Drosophila melanogaster: one gene and its partner. The protein of the gene in region 1 interacts with the protein of each later gene in a pairwise test. Each region holds a gene or a part of one and is shown on either strand. Other genes may lie near its edges.

Region 1 (3,931 bases):
TCCCGGGCACATATCGCGACTTTCGACTCTTCAGCTTGGACACCCCAGTCACAAAGTTGCTGAGGACCTCGGATTCGATGTGTGAGCGCTGCAGAGCAACCATTTCCTTGGCTACTTTGCCTTTGTTGTTTGGCGTGGAGGACTTAGCCTGATGCTGTTGTGGCTGCACCTTCGTCAACTTCATGGTAAGCGAGGAGCCCACGTTGATGTTCGAGGGACTCGAACTGGATGAGTTACTGCTGCAGTTGGCCGACCCAGGCGGAGCACTGACAATATACTTTTGACGCTTGCTGGGCATGATGACCGGCTCCATCTCGACGTGGCCATCCAGCGAGGAGCTCTGCAACTGCGGCTGTGGGCTGCCGATGGCGGAGAGGGCCTCAAAGTCCGGCCGGGGAATGGATTTTAAGCTATCCCCACTGCTGTCGCTGCTGTCCGTGCTTTCCATGCTCTGTGCGAAAGACTGAAAATGATACATTTATGGAACAGTCTGGCAATTGAGAAATCTAAATAATTGTTTGATGTTTTGCCTCTTAACTTATTTTTAGTTTTTTTCTTTCAATATTCGTGAGGTTGACTATAGCTATTTAATTGATAATGCTGCTCTATAAATAAATTTTAGGAATCCATATGTACAATATTGGGTTTTTAATATTACAATCAAACAGAACACTTGAAACTCTTTATTAGCTATAATGTCAACGAATCCCCCTCATGTCCTCCGACACAACAAATTTAATTTTGAGTAATAAGCTAGAGAGGACATCACAGTCGAGCAAAACCACAATTCTATACTTAGATGCAAGATACCTCTCGTTTTACGCGCAGGCGGATCGAATCAATTCGACTAGTGATCCTGTCATAACGAATACACAAATCTAGTTGCTTTCGGACCACCCTCTCTTCTACATGTAACACACTTGTGAATGGATGAAGTGTTTGCTCTTACTCTTCGAGTAATAGAAATTGCAGTGTGGAGGTGAGGGCACACAGTATGGTATAAGACCTTCAATTTCGTTAACAAGTACATATTTTAGCAATAAAATCAGAGACTTGGAAACCGCAAATACGATATGCTAAACCGTATCAGCCCGACTCGCCGAAGTGTGCCGAGTGTGACGAATTCGCCAAATGGGAATGTGTAAATGCAAAGTGTCACGGAATCGTGCGTGTTGTGTTTGCCGTTCTTTTTTGCGTCACCAGCGCAACTTCAGCGAGTGCTTGCGGCGTGTGCTCCGCGCTTCCTACTTATTTGCATCTGTGTTCGCTTCGCAAATTTTACGCACCTGCGATGTTCACGTTAGGAAGCCTCACTGTTACCACTCTCCCCTGGTGATTTGAAAGTGGGAACCATAACTGAGCGATTTATTTCGGTCCGATCTGTTTCTGGGCGAGATTCCTCTGTCGCATCTGCAAGAAATGTGTCCACGATGAATTTAGTGTTTTCAGTGTGTTGTGCTGCATGACCAGGTTTGCTGGTGCGGAAGTTAGAAGGGGAGGGGGAAGAGTGATACGCGGAAAGCGTTTCCTTCTGCCTGGCTCTTACCAATTTCTCAGGGCTGTGTGCGAAAATCGCAGATTTGACTGGACGCCTTTCAGATCGCTGTCTCCAAACGCCGGTTTTCGAGCCTTCTACGTACGGCGATTGTCCGACGATCGGCGCCCTCAATTGATGTAACGCAGCGCCTTCCTAGTTTAATTAATGGTTTTGTTGTATTTTATTTTTTCCCGAAGTAACAGTGCTGCCAGATGACAACAGTCCCGATGGCTATCGAGCTATCGTTGTAGGAAGATTAATCGAATAAGGGTTTTCGATACATTGATAGATGAGCTGATTCAGAACGACCACTTTCGATTGTGCATTGGCGCGCGTTTTAAATATTTAAGTCATTATCAACGAATCGAATTCATTTGAATTTTGAATCTGCATTACTAGGCAAGCTAAATTTTTACAATGAAGAACTAAATTAATGGTGCCCCTTTCAATACTCACGGGCACAGTTGGCAACGCTGGCTGGGGCGAATACTCGCTAAGCGAACTAGTTGGCAATATTGGTCGAGGGAAACTTTGCTTTTCAAAAGTAAAGTTTGATGAGTTCATAAAGTTTTCAATATGTATATACCATCATATTGGGTGTTATCGCATTATTATGTTTTCGAAATTCATGAGCAGACAAAGATTACTTAAGGACTTCCAATAATACACACAGTGACAGAATCCAAACAACAAGGCTAATGGCTTACCGCTTACATTTTGCCCTTTAAATGCCCAATAAATTCAGAACATTAATCATGAATTAATCAATGCAAAAATTAAATGAGTTTAAATAAAGGATTACATTTAATATACGGCCACGAGGGCCGTAAAATTTACTACTAGTCAGGGATTAGATTGGAAAGCACTAGGCCATAAAAGTAAATCAGCCACATGGTGGGACTGGGTCATGCATCATAATTTCAGGTAATTAAGTTCGGTTTTATGCGATGATCTGCTCTAATTTGGCTTTGCAAAATAATGAGCCAAATAATGACCAGAAATGCAAAAGCATTTACATGAATTTATAATGGAGCGAATAACCTTGAAAGTTCCATAAATCATTGGGCAGCTTCACGAAAAATCTTCTACGGCAATTCGAGGAGTTTAATTAAAATTAAAAGGCTGCGCCAACGAGACCAGCGCTCTGGACCCTGGACATTCTCCGGCACCACTTCTCGACTGGATATAGCCCTGCTGGCAGGTAAACAAGTTATGAATCCCATTACATAAACCATTTCCCAGGCTGACAATACCAAGCGATGTGTCTGGTGTGGGGGGAGTGAGCCGTAGCCCAAGGACCACGACCCCACAACGGTTGAACTTCTACAAACGGTTTTCATATATTCATGGCAAATTATAATGCTGCGAGAGTATAAAATGCGACGAAGAAAGACAAAAGTTGCCCCATTCATAAGGGTCACACTCGGGCAGGCACGGCCTCCAACCACCTACCTACCTGCCACCCACTGAGCCACCCACCCACCGACCGGCCACCTGTAATATGGACCCCATACCCTCTGATGGCTTCCAAAATAGCGACAATGTCGGGCTGCTGCTGGCCACGTGTAAACATGCATCTCCATATATCAATAAATTGAGATTACTTACATAATTTGTATTCCAAAATCCAAAAACTGTTAAAAAAGTTGCCTTGGCCCCTTTTTCATACGATTGGCTATGTGTGTGTGTGTGTGTGTGTGTGTGTGTGTGCAGTACACGAGTACATTGTGGAAAAAGTTTTTCTTTTCGAGTGAGAGTGGCTGGGGAGTTTTCCTCGGGGAGCAATTCGGTTAATATTCCGAACATAAATTTGCAAAGGAACCACTTTAATCAATGGCCAGGTAGGGGCGTCCGTTCAAGGGATAGGTGAGGCACATGGTGTGTATATGGATATGTATACGGCGCAGGGATCAAAGGACGAGCCCATCCCCGAACCTCCCCGCCCCGCTGTTGGCTCCTTTTCGAGGTGCAATGTACCATTTAGCGGCGGTATTGATTTGCCTGAGAAGATCAGAACAATGGGCTGCGATTTTTCCGGCTCATTCGCAACTGATTTTGGAGGCGGAGATGCAAATATCTGGTTGGCTTCACCCAGAAGATTCAAAAGGGCTCGCTTTCGGGTAACGTTTAATTATGCTTACTTTAAACAATAACTAAAAGCGGTTGGTACCTTGCCCCTCTCCAATTTATTTAATAATAGAAATTCGCTAACCATCGCCAGCTTCAGGCATAAATTGCAGAGTACTCCGGCTAGCCATGGGGGTTCGGATCCGGGACTCCATTCCGGACATTGTTTGTTTTTCTGGCGGAAAGAAGATGGAACAGTAAGTGGGACAGAGGCAGGGGTCCGGGTAACCGGCGATGCGTCCCATTCATAACCCATATTCAATTTCG
Region 2 (3,427 bases), on another chromosome or scaffold:
CTGATTGTTGAAAATGCCAGTGCATTTGCCAACAATCGCGGGTAAAGCGTATTATTCTGAACGTAAATGTAATAAGACTTATGTATAAGTACTTTTGCAGAGATACAAAATGAAATAGTTATAAGGACGTTTATCGCATGCCAAACGATCCTTGATCCTTGATATTTTTTGATTTTACACAACTTTAAAAGATAATATAGAAAATATGGTTATTGTACAAATTATTAAGGATGTTTTGGTAATCCAGACTCTTTTCTTTACAATTAAATTTATTTAAAAACACTTTTTCGATTTTACCAACCTTTAGAGATCAGATTGAAAATGTTGTAAGTGTACAAAAGAATGAGCATATTTTGATTATCCGGACGACTTTCTTCCCGTTACAAGCCAATTTACAAATGCTGAATATGAATATATATATACATATAGTCCGGATCAATATGAGAATGCAGTAGCTTGCTAATAACCTAAGTATATGCTAAGATGTGTAATTTACAAATCTAATTGTTAATGTTACTCGTGTGTATGCAGATTACTACTAACATTCGACTAGACGGCATCTTTTTTTCCTAGCTAGCTTAAATAGAAAACCACGAACGAACATTAATGGCCATTAATTTGCTCACTCTACGAAATTCGTATAAACAGTACTTGAGATATTTTCTACTTGCGCTTAATAAAACAAACAAAACCTAAGCCAGTCGAGATTGTTTGGGTGGGGAGACCGTTTGGCATCCGTCCGACATGATCAGTCTAAATCGAGCAGCGATCAGAGGAGCATGGCGAGATCAGGGCGCAGTTCGAGGTTTCTTATCGGCGGCAGCACTTGCTGTTCGATGCTTCTGGGTCTTATCTGTCTGGTGAGTCGGTGAGTCGGCAGTGGATTAGATAAGGAACTTATTGATTTTCCTCTCGATTGCCAGGCTCTGGCGGACTCATCCCAAGTGAAAGAACGCAGCCCTACCATCTTGGTGAGAAATACAATTCAAGCGGTGGAGAGGCTCTTCAATCAGGTGCTCTACACGACCATCGAAGATGCCCGCCAACGACTACCGGGTCTTCCGGCCAACGAAACCATCGATCGGCAGTACTTCGAGGAGCTCGACCTGGTTGCTGGGAACGAGGACTATTACAGCACTGCATTCTATATCTTCGCCTGGATAAACAGCGACCTCATGTACCATAAGACTCCCGATAAGTTGCTCGTCGAGGTTCTTCCCGGCGAGAAGATCGCCATCCGCAGATTCTTCGCCAAGGTCAAGCCGCATCTTACCAAGTATCTGCGACTCAGTCGACAGGACAGGTCGGAATTGGTTTCCAACGTCACCCAGTTGGCCACCGAAACCAAGGACAGTCTGATCACAACCTTCTTGGAGTTTCCCCAGAACCTGAAGAGCCAACTTCCTGAGCTCCAGCTAATGGACTACACCAAATTGGCTCAGGCTTTGGTGCAGGGGGTGGCCAGTGGTATATGGACGAAGGCTTAAGATTAATAGCTAAATATTTAAACAATATCATAGAATTAGAAAGTGTTTGTAATAAAATGAGAAATGTACTTCAAAGAACAATATTCGGAATCTATTTATACGAGGACTTTATTCCTGAAAAATGCCGTTTAACTTCCGGAAAATTTCCGACTGTCTGATCAACATGTGTAGATATCGAGAACTGATACTTTAAAGCAATAAAGATATTATCGTGACTTGGAACTATATACGACTTTGTAATAACAAAATGCATGGTTTCCACTACCCACTAATTAATATACGAAGGGGCAGCACTCGTTCTTATCACGCTCACCGATTTCTGAAGTCTGATTACAGTCTATACGTTGTCTCACGATCAGTGGGTATTCATTACAGAGGAGGCGTTCTCCCATTTTGTATAAAAATTGTGAATTTAAGAGAGGGAATATAAAAGGAATCAGTTCGATAGAGACTAGATACAGTTTCAAATCATGGCCAGCAGACTAACTTGGACTTTTCTAGTCGCTGTAGCTGCCCTCCAGCTTTCGGTAAGATCCTTAGATTTGCTTATATCCTTTTGGAATCAACAGAAACCTTTAACTTTCAGCTTGCAGCGCCTCTCATTAACAAATGGCAGTTACAATTCGAAGTGTCCAATGAACTCTTTCAAATGGTAACAGACGCCATGGAACAGCTACGACATGTCTTTCAATTGGTCATCGACGAGGCCGAACTCATTTTACCACCAAACTCCAAGGGACACATTCTCAGGGAGCTTAAGGACTTCGTCGCGGCCTTGGACACCCTGGACTTCGATGATTCATTCGAGCTGAACAGACTGGAGGATGCTCTTGAGGAACTGGAAAGCATCATTTCGATTGCAGGCAGCAAAGAATTCGAATCGGAAGCTGACGAGGTTGTCGTTCAGCTATTCATACAGCACGGAGTTGAGGACCTGGAGCAGATCCTGGAAAGAAACTTGGAAACTACTCTGAAAATCGTAGAGCAGAAGGTGGAGAAATACATGAGCACATGGTCCGACAGTCGGTTGGCCAGGAACGCGGCGATGGTCAAGCAGTTTAATGACTTTAAGAACGAAAAGGATGTCTATGAGAAGCTGGACAAGTTAACCAACTCTGATTTCATTTGAATAAACATATCATGTTTCAAGTACATTTAAGTTTAAACCAAATAACTACAGATACATAGTCCGAACGTATATATTATTTCCAGAAACTGCCTTGCAAATATCAAAACCAGTAGTCCAGAGTTCATGTTTTGTATTAGCACGCTCGCCGGAAGCTAAAATTTGATTACATATTGCAGCTGATTTAACAATCAATGAGCATATAATAAATACGCTAGTAAGTGTTTACTACTTAGTGCAGGTATGACGTAAGAAATGTGGAATTCATTTTACAAAGGTATTGAATACCTTAATATACCTTTTTTAGATTTGTAAGCTGTCAGGTTTCAATAGCTTTGAAAGTTTTACTGACTTTCTATTCAATACAATTGTTATTTAGTCTGATAAATAAACCGTGCGGAAAGTAAAATAACTGATTATTTGTAATGCCAAGAATCTTTACATTACACACAGACAAGTCAGTATAATCTCTAGCAGCCTTAACTAGTTGTTTTTGAGAACTCGGAACTTTCATTCATCAGCTTCTCTTAGGAAAGGTGTTAAAAGTTGCGATAAGATGATCCAAATCCATCCCGCGAGTCGAACACATCCCGCTCGATTTGGGGAGGTCCTCTTCCATCCGATGTGTAGCTATAGGATTCGCTCCGGTAAAAGTTGTTAGAAGAGCCCCCGGAACCAAGGGGACCACTTCTACCAGTCGGAATACTGGAACCACCGGCGATAAGGGGGATAATGGAACCACTGGATGGCATAGGTACCTGGAGAAGGTGTATTAGTTTTTTAGTTAGGAAAACGATTGCACAAGATTACCGGT

Evidence for each region.
Region 2: the proteins of Zmynd8 (region 1) and OS9 interact in a two-hybrid assay, tested with the Drosophila melanogaster proteins (one large-scale study listed by BioGRID).

What each region holds. Positions count from the first base shown.
Region 1 is NT_033777.3:31,667,296-31,671,226, reverse strand, and holds the start of Zmynd8 (zinc finger MYND-type containing 8), read right to left. Parts: upstream 1,763-3,931; 5' UTR 1,547-1,762; intron 1,411-1,546; 5' UTR 1,287-1,410; intron 464-1,286; 5' UTR 449-463; coding exon 1-448. UniProt on the Drosophila melanogaster protein: Chromatin reader that recognizes specific histone signatures to regulate transcription. Plays a role in neuronal development.
Region 2 is NT_033779.5:19,965,007-19,968,433, reverse strand, and holds OS9 (Olfactory-specific 9), read left to right. Parts: upstream 1-1,923; 5' UTR 1,924-1,957; coding exon 1,958-2,014; intron 2,015-2,073; coding exon 2,074-2,616; 3' UTR 2,617-2,770; downstream 2,771-3,427. Other genes in the region: Hf (helical factor), read left to right, coding at 780-860, 924-1,487; CG10680 (uncharacterized protein), read right to left, coding at 3,153-3,371, 3,424-3,427.